Linked DNA regions of Oryctolagus cuniculus. The protein of the gene in region 2 interacts with the protein of the main gene of each other region in a biochemical or structural test. Links are inferred from orthologs where the notes say so. Each region holds a gene or a part of one and is shown on either strand. Other genes may lie near its edges.

Region 1 (4,477 bases), on a different chromosome or scaffold from region 2:
TTGCAATCTAAAACTGGTGGTGATAATGGTTGTACAACTCTGTGAACATACTAAAAACCACTGAGTTATACAGTTCTGAGCACTTGAGAAAAAAAAGGGGGGGGGGCGGCGCTGTGGTATAGCAGATAAAACCACTGCCTGCAGTGCCAGCATCCCACATGGGCACTGGTTCAAGTCCCGGCTGCTCCACTTCTGATCCAGCTCTCTGCTATGGCCTGGGAAAGCAGCAGAAGCCCCTGTACCCATGTGGGAGACCTGGAGGAAGCTCCTGGCTCCTGGCTTCGGATCACCCCAGCTCCAGTCATTGCAGCCATGTGGGGAGTGAACCAGCAGATGGAAGACCTCTCCCTCTGCCTCTGCCTCTGCCTCTTTGTAACTCTTCTTTTCATTCTTCTTTTTTAAAAAAAAAAATATTTATTTGTATGAAAGGCAGAGTTACAGAGAAAGAAGTAGAGGCAAAGAGAGAGGTCTTCCATCCGCTGGTTCACTCCCCACATGGCTGCAACAGCCGGAGCTGCACTGATCCAAAGCCAGGAGCCAGGAGCTTCTTCTGGGTCTCCCACACTGGTGCAGGGATCCAAGGACTTGGGTTATCTTCCACTGCTTTCCCAGGCCACAGCAGAGAGCTGGATCAGAAGTGGAACAGCCAGGTCTCATACCGGCTCCCATATGGTGTGTGAATTATATCCCAGTGAAACTGTTTGTGGCGGCCGCCACCCTTGCCCAAGCCTCCCTAGGTTTGAGTCTGGACAAATGATGAGACCTTGGACAAGTCACTTCCTGCCGGGTCTCTGGGGAATAGTAACAACCTCCTCTAGGGACTGCTGAGGGCTTCGGGTGAGACCAGCAAGCAGGCACCTGACACCTAGCCGTAGCTGTTATTACCACCGTGGTGCCGAACACCACAGCACTGGGAAAACCCAGCACGCGCCTCTGTGTGGGGCTCATATTCAATGGCGGGCATGGAGCCGACCTGGCTGGAGTCATGGCTGCACTGTTCCCAGAGCCCATGACACAAGGCCCCTTCTGGGACCCTTCCCAGCCACATCCCACTTCCGGGAGGTGCTTTGCAGTCACCGTTGCAGCACCAGGGTGTGGAAAGGTGGCAGTGGCAGGGGAGCGGGTCATGTGCGGGGCTGTGAAGCTGCCACTGGGCCTAGGTGCTGAGAAGGACCTAAGTGGGGGGAGGGGCTCTGCCCCGTGACACTTCCTGTGTGAAGCACAGACACGTTCTTGTGCGTATGAAATTGCTGACCTGGGCTCGGGCTGGGGCTCCTGTCTTCCTTGGCAGGCCAGGTGTCATTTCCTCCTCTGACTTCTTATTGCTCCCTGCCCCATGTACCCTAGCCTTTCAATGTCAATGGCATCTCAGGTCCACCTCCCCGCCCCCCATGCTTTCTTCACAGGCAACTCAGGGAACACTCATCCCTCAACCAGGCTGCTCCCGCCGATCACCTGGGGTCTCACCTGGGAGCGTTCGAGCCGACCCAGGCCCAGACCCCGTGCCAAAAAATTCCTGCCAAATGGTCTGGAGTGGGGGCCGTCCCTGTTGATCCCAACACGCAGCCTCACCAGCACTCCCAGCAGCCCCTCGTCCCTCACTGCATTATAGCAGCAGCTCTGGCAGCTCGCTGGCTCCATCTGCAACGTCCACAGCTGCGCTCCCAGGGCAGGCAGACAGACAAGCCCCACCTCTTGCTTTTTCTCCACTTGACCCCTCTGCCATGGAGCAGATCAGAAACAAAGGCTTCATGGTGTCCAACTCTCGTGCCATAGAACTCTTCCTCCAGGACCCCTGGCTTGAAGCTGGCTCGCCCGTCATCCTCCACCTGTCGGCCCCACACCTTGTGCCCCACTGCATCACCCATCTGGAACTGTTAACTTTTCCTCTGCCCGCCTGTCCCCCGGCCCCAATTAGTGCCACCCTAATGTCCAGGTTGGTCACCCAGCCCCACAGCTCTATAATCAGCCCGAGAGGGAACTGTGGGCAGATGCACTTGAGGGTTCATCAGCGTGCACTTCCATGTGTGTGGATTTCATGCCCTCACACACACACACACACACACACACACGCCCCTGAACAAAGTCTTCACCGGGGCAGGAGACAAGTCCCTTAGAGTGCTCCTGGAGGTGGCAAATGCAGTTGGGGACATTTCCCAGATGCTCTTTCCCAGATTGCTAAAACAGCACCCAGCTGAAACGGAGAAGTTTAGGGAACGAAGACTTACCTTGAACCTTCAAATCAAACGTTTTTTCCAACACACACTCTCCTTTTGTATTATATATGATAACCTTGTAGCTACTGTTAGAATGTCTGTTTAGTTGTTTAATTTTCAGAGTTACATTTCCAACGAGCTCATAAGTCCCATTGAGACTGTAGGTGTCCTTGTCTTTTTTGAACTGTGCAACCCTGCTTTCTTCTCTGACCCAGCGTATATCCTCGGTATCGTCACTCATTGAGAAATCCGGGATGCGTAGTTCAACGTCATGATCCAAGGCCCCCCAGACGACCTCCGGATCCGAGGAGACCTTCGTACCCCACGAAGCTGCACCTACGAAAAGCAAGACAGTGGCTGAGGCCTGAAGTCGCCCGGCTTCAGGGCAAGGCTGGGCTGTGCCGTTTCGCTCTCAGGCTCACTTCAGGGTTCCCAGAGAAGCTTGCTTGACACTGCAGACCCACACAGCACCTTACCTTTGGTGGAAAAGCTGAAAATCACAAGCAAGCTGGCCAGCATTTTATCTGGGAGTCTCATCTTCGGGGTCAATTTCCTTGCTGTGGGTCTGAGCTCTTCTCGCAAAAGGAACTGTAGTCAGACTGGTGGAATCCACCCTGCCAGCTTAACCACGTGCCTCTCCCCTTTCTTCTGGTACAGTGACATGAAACACACACACACGCGTACACACACACACTAACAAACCAACCCTTCTGATGTTTTCCTTTGTCTAAGCAGGTGTGTTTAAAAGCACGTTTTCTAATCACATTTTCATCTTCACCGGAAAAAAAAAAATGAGGGAAAGAATTGGCTTTATCCCCATTAAAGAGAAAAAGAGCTGAGGGGTGGAGCATCAGCCAGGTCCGGCCTTTTGTAAATGAGGGGCCGGTTCTAATACACAGCCCATCTTTCGTCTACTCAACTACATAGTTTCTAAGAGCACAGGGATGGGTGGATGAATGTTCAGAAGAGAGTAGAAGGAAACAAATGTTTAACCCATTATTATATTACCAGTATTGGAGAATGCACTCATAGGAAATATTAGGAAATGGATTTTCTCTGTCCCAAAAGATGTTTTTATAATACTCTAAAACTGTGCAAGAAAAAGAAACATACATTATGTCTCAGCTGCAGATGCCTACAATCCTCAAAACGTATGTTTAACATAGCTCATTTGTTTGTTTGTTTGTTTGTTTTTTGACAGGCAGAGTGGACAGTGAGAGAGACAGACAGAGAGAAAGGTCTTCCTTTGCCGTTGGTTCACCCTCCAATGGCCGCCACGGCCGGCCCGCTGTGGCCGGCGCACTGCGCTGATCCGATGGCAGGAGCCAGGTACTTATCCTGGTCTCCCATGGGGTGCAGGGCCCAAGTACTTGAGCCATCCTCCACTGCACTCCCTGGCCACAGCAGAGAGCTGGCCTAGAAGAGGGGCAACCGGGACAGAATCCGGCGCCCCGACTGGGACTAGAACCTGGTGTGCCGGCGCCACAAGGTGGAGGATTAGCCTAGTGAGCCACAGTGCTGGCCAACATAGCTCTTTTTAAAATTTATTTATTTGAGAGGTAGAGTTACAGAGAGAGAAACAGAGAGCTGTCTTCCATCTGCTGGTCCATTCCCCAGGTGGCTGGGCAGATCCCAAGCCAGGAGCCAGAAGCCTCCTCCTCTATATCTCCCACGTGTGCACAGGGACCCAAGCACTTGGGTCATCTTCCACCGCCCTCCCAGGCCACAGTGAGCTGGACCAGAAGAGGAGCAGCTGGGTCTTGAACCGTCGCCCACATGGGATGCTAGCACCACAGGCAGAGGCTCAATCCATGATGCAACAGCGCCAGCCCCTTAACATACATTTTATAACTCTATTGAAATTCAGAGTTAGGGCCTGCGCTATGGCGCAGCAGGTTAACGCCATGGCCTGAAGCGCCGGCATCCCATATGGATGCCGGTTCGAGTCCCGGCTGCTCGTCTTTCAATCCAGCTCTCTGCTATGGCCTAGGAAAGCAGTGGAAGATGGCCCAAGTCCTTGGGCCCCTGCACCCACATGGGAGACCCAGAAGAGACTCCTAGCTCCTGGCTTCAGATCAGCTCAGCTCTGGCCATTGCGGTCATTTGGGGAGTGAACTAGCAGATGGAAAATTTCCCTCTCTCTCTCTGGCTCTACCTCTCTCTGTAATTCTGACTTTCAAATAAATAAAATAAATTTTTTTAAAAAAGAAAGAAATTCAGAGTTAGGTAAGTAAAAATCTATTCCAAAACAAACAAAGGCA
Region 2 (4,395 bases):
GAAGTAGAAGATGGCCCAAGTCCCTGGGCCCCTGCACCCACGTGGGAGACCCGGAAGAAGCTCCTGGCTCCTGGCTTTGGATTGGCTCAGCTCCAGCCGTTGCAGCCAACTGGGGAGTGAACCAGCGGATGGAAGACCTCTCTCTGTGTAATTCTGACTTTCAAATAAATAAATAAATCTTTTTTAAAAAAATTAAAAAAAAGAGAATTCCTGCTCATCCTTGGTCTTCGAGACGTCCCACTAACACCTGCAATTCCTGGGCCCGGGGCTCAGGTCCCCAGCGGCTGTGAGGACAGAGGAGGCGAGGTCAGCACAGCGAGAAGCCCGCGCAGGCGCAGATCAGGGCGGGGCCCACACAGGACACCTGCCAGTCAGGGAGGCGGGAAACGAAGGTGAGGAGGGTTCAAGGCACCGGGGAGAGACCACGGCAGAGGAAAAAGCGTACAAACACATAACAGTCTGAAGGGCTGTGGAGACGGCCCCCGGCTCCTGGCCGTCAGCACAGCCGAGGCCCTCGCACACCACTAAAGGCATTTTATTGGGAAAAACAGAAATTGAAAAGTAGCCTCCAATCTTCTCCCTGCCCAAGGCAGCTGGGGGCCGGCTCCCCCAAAGTCCAGCAGAGAACGGGGGAGGTGGGGGGGGCGCCCAACTGGGCCCTCCGCAGGCTCAGGTGTAGAGGTCGAAGTCGATGCGTTTGGAGTTGTAGAACTGACCACCCGGGGGATCCAGCTTCCGGCAGTAGACTCCGTCTGGGAAGTAGCCTTCGCTCACCCAGGTCTGCAGGTAGACAGGGCGGGGCTGACACGGCGGGGCGGGGCGGGCCGGGGGTGGGGCGGGGCGTGCGGGGGAGGGGGGGGGGCGCTCACCTGCATCTGGGCACTGGTGAAGGGTCCGTAGAGCTCGGCCTCCCCGGTGTTCTCCCACTTATATTCCCACATCACGTCCACCAGGCCGTCGCCCGCCGACTCTGCCTCTGCAACCAGAGGCGGAGCCGATTGGAGCTCCACTGCCCGGCCTCCAGTCCACACCGCTGCCCCTCCTCTGCCCTCCAAAGCTCACCTTCTCTCTGGGGAGGGGTCGGGGTCTCCAGCTCCCCCTCAGCCACCTCCTCCGCAAACATGTCCAGGGAGGGCGGGGGCGTGGAATCCTGGGCCCCCTGGGTCCGACACCCCAACCCCTTCAGCCGCATGGCCAGGCGCTCTCGAGTTTCCTGGTAAACGCCAAGGTTGCCCCGGGCCACCATCTGGTCAGCCAACCCAGACAGCCGGTCCAGGCGCTGGGGGGAACTGGGCCGCCCGGGCCCCTTGCTGTTCCCTTTGCCCCCTCCTCGGGCCCCCAGCCGCCTCAGTGCCCCGGCCACTGTCTCCCTGGGCAGCAGCAGCTCTAGAAGTCCCTCGAGGAGGGCTTGGGCGCTCAGTGGTGTCTGGCCCAGGCTGTCCTCCTCCTCCGAGTCTGAAGCCCGGCGCTGATCCGGGGGCCGCTCCCTGATCTTCACCTAGAATGCAAGAAAGGGGTCAGGGTCGGGGGCTGCAGGGGGTTGTTTCCTACAAACCTGCTCCAGGAGCCCAGATCCAGCCCCCCCACCCCACCCCAGCCGTGCTGAGCCCTGGGCCGCACCCAATCAATATTGTCCAGCCAGCTGTCCTGGATTTGAGCGTCCCGGTTCAGGAAGTAGTTGCCATCGGCATCAAAGTGGCCTTCCTCCATCTCCTCCTGCAGGTTGAAGGGAGTGATGCGCACCCCTCCCTCACTGGGGAGCGTGGCTGCTTCCTGACCTGCATCAGAGACAGAGTCGCCCCATGCGAGGCATGCAAAAAAAAGAGAGAGACAGGAACCTCCCTCCCTCAAGTCCCCACTCGTCCCTCCCTGGGTGCTACTCACCTTCCACATCCTCTGAGGCCAGGATGTCATACTTGCTGGACCCCTCGTCGTCATCATCCTCTTCATCGCTGTCCAAGGAGTGCTTGCCTTTGAAGCGGCTCCCGGGACCCCCGGGCCCAGTCACGGGGTCCACCAGCTGAGAGCAGGAAGGGAGAAATGCAGAATTCTCAGCTCCTCCCAGACTCCAGCATCTGCACCCAAGCTGAGCACCCTCCAAACCCAGTCCTGGGGGACCTGCCCTCCTCTTCAGGCTCCGCTCTGCCTCCCCTCCCCCCAACAAAACGGTCTGGCCCCCTCACCTTCTTCCTGGGAACACTGACTTCATCCTCATCCTCGTCTCCCACGCCTTGGAAGGTCACTTTCCGCTTTGGCATGACGGGCCAGGGGGGCTTCCCTTAACCTGATGGGGGAAAAGTTGCAGAGGAAGCGGCCTGAGCGGGAGGCCACCCACTGCAAGAGAACCCTGGCCACAGGACACGCTTCCTGGTGCGTGCCAGGTCCATTGGGAGGGAAGAGCACAGAGAATCGGGGGCCAGAGCGGGAGCTGCAGCCCGGAGGCTCCCACGGCCTCGGCTCGCCATCCCAGAGCTAACGGAGCTGGGACGCCAGGCCAGACGCGGGGAGTATCCCCACCCCGACGACAGGGGCCCGGCTCCCCCACGTGACCACGCCCATATCCGGCCTCCGCAGTCTGAGCGCTACCGGGCTCGGCGGGCACACACACCCGCTCCCGCAACCCCAAAGCCCTCGGAGCCCGCGGGGCCCGGGCCGACCCAGGACCTGGCGCTCCCGGCCGCTCTGCTCCTCCTCCTCGCGCCGAACTCCCAATTCCACGTGGTTGACCCCCCAACTGTCCCGGGGTGTGTACAGATTAGAGGGCGGCACAGCCACGGGGACTCCGGCAGCCAGCCCCGCGCGCGCTCACCTGGGGATCTAGGGGAGGCAGGGGAAGAAAAGGAGAGATGCTTTCACCAGGGCTGTATCCGGGGCACCTGGCCGCCATCACCCGGAAGCGTACGGCGGAGGCCGGAAGTGGCTTCACTCCACTTGAAGGACTAACAGGAAGAGCGGGCGGAAGTAGGTAGTGAGCTAGGCGGCAACCTCCAACCCTGTCCCCCGCCAGGAGTGACGTGAGCCGCGCGGGTCTGCAGCGGCGAGGAGTGTGCGGGCGCCTAGACCCTGATCGGCGCGGAGGATGCCCCGAAGTGGCTTCGATGCCCTCACGCAGCCTCTGGGGGATGCAACTCCACTTAGAGGGGAGCCCAGGGTCAGGATGGAGGGGCAGAGGAGGAGCAGAGCCGATGGGTTCCAGCCCCAGGTGCCCCTTCCGGGGTTCGCACCACCGTTTCCCGCAGACTGGCCAAGTGCCTTACACTTGTCAGAGCTGCGCCCTCTCCTAGCGTGAGGCGCGGCCCTGCTCTTCTCCCTAAGGGAAGCCAGGCTCACCTGATGGCCTCTGAGGGCACTTGGGACACTTTCAGAACCCAGCCGCCTTTAGGACCCAGGGGAAATCACGTGCTCCACGCCTGTCCGCGGAGCCAGTTCCTGATTTCTGAGGCGGGGCAGCCACTGCTGCAGAGGTGGCATTGTCGCGGGTGCCCTGTGGCCAGCCCAGAAGCCCCTGTGCCTGCTCTCAGGTAGGCCTAGGAAAGGGCAATGGTCCCTCCGGCACCACAGCGGTGGGATGAAGCCCCCGCCCCCTTAGCAATCAGGGCCCAGCGACCCTGCCTAGGTGATGGGATTTGAGGCGGGGAGGTGGGCGGGCCTGGCCCTGGGTGGTGGGACAAGACAGCTAACGCCCAAGGGTGTGCAGGCCAAGACTGTGCCCAGGCAGAGCCTGCTGGAGCTAGGAGGGCGTGAGCATCCTCCCAGGCAACCAGGGGACCACTCCTCTCTCCCCCAGGGTCCCTCCAGGGCCACCACCATGAAACTGCACCGCAAGTCTGTGCTCAGTTTCTTCCAAGGCTGCAGAGCCCAGGCCCCAGACCAGGAGGGCATCTTGCTGAAGAAGGGGGCCCGAAACAGCAGCTACCAGCGCCGCTGGTTTGTCCTCCGTGGAAACCTCCTCTTCTACCTGGAACACCAGGAAGCCCACACTCCCCTGGGCCTCATCCTGTTGGAGAGCTGCCGGGTGGAGCCTCGCCTTAAGGCCGCAGAGCCCTTCGCCTTCACCATCGTGACCCCCGGGGGAGAGGGCACAGGGGGGCGGGCCTACAAGCTGGCCGCAGAAAGCCAGGAGGAGCTGAGGGCTTGGCTGTGGGCGCTGGCCGGGGTGAGCTGGAGGCGGCTGGCTAGGCTGCTTCCCCCCATGGAGGCCCAGTACCGGGAGCTCTGCCAGGCGGCTGGCCAAGAACCCAGGTGCCCCGCCGAGGACTGTGGCTTTCTAGCCATCCTCGGGCCCCACTCCAGCTTCCAGGAGCTGCACGAGCGCTTTGGGAAGGAGATCCGGGTGCTGCTGGCAGTGCACAGAGGACTCCGGGAAGCCAGGTCCCAGGCAAAGCTGGAGCAGCT

Evidence for each region.
Region 1: the proteins of CD2BP2 (region 2) and CD2 interact in a biophysical measurement, tested with the Homo sapiens proteins (6 studies listed by BioGRID and IntAct, with this or other methods). The link is inferred for Oryctolagus cuniculus from reciprocal best matches to the Homo sapiens genes CD2BP2 and CD2.

What each region holds. Positions count from the first base shown.
Region 1 is NC_091438.1:53,724,934-53,729,410, forward strand, and holds the start of CD2 (T-cell surface antigen CD2), read right to left. Parts: upstream 3,008-4,477; 5' UTR 2,754-3,007; coding exon 2,693-2,753; intron 2,553-2,692; coding exon 2,229-2,552; intron 1-2,228. UniProt on the Homo sapiens protein: CD2 interacts with lymphocyte function-associated antigen CD58 (LFA-3) and CD48/BCM1 to mediate adhesion between T-cells and other cell types. CD2 is implicated in the triggering of T-cells, the cytoplasmic domain is implicated in the signaling function.
Region 2 is NC_091450.1:6,706,337-6,710,731, reverse strand, and holds CD2BP2 (CD2 antigen cytoplasmic tail-binding protein 2), read right to left. Parts: upstream 2,940-4,395; 5' UTR 2,810-2,939; exon of another isoform or gene 2,665-2,809; intron 2,554-2,664; exon of another isoform or gene 2,285-2,553; 5' UTR 2,259-2,284; coding exon 2,184-2,258; intron 2,021-2,183; coding exon 1,885-2,020; intron 1,779-1,884; coding exon 1,621-1,778; intron 1,499-1,620; coding exon 1,063-1,498; intron 977-1,062; coding exon 870-976; intron 781-869; coding exon 670-780; 3' UTR 453-669; downstream 1-452. Other genes in the region: sesquipedalian-1, read left to right, coding at 3,809-4,395. UniProt on the Homo sapiens protein: Involved in pre-mRNA splicing as component of the U5 snRNP complex that is involved in spliceosome assembly.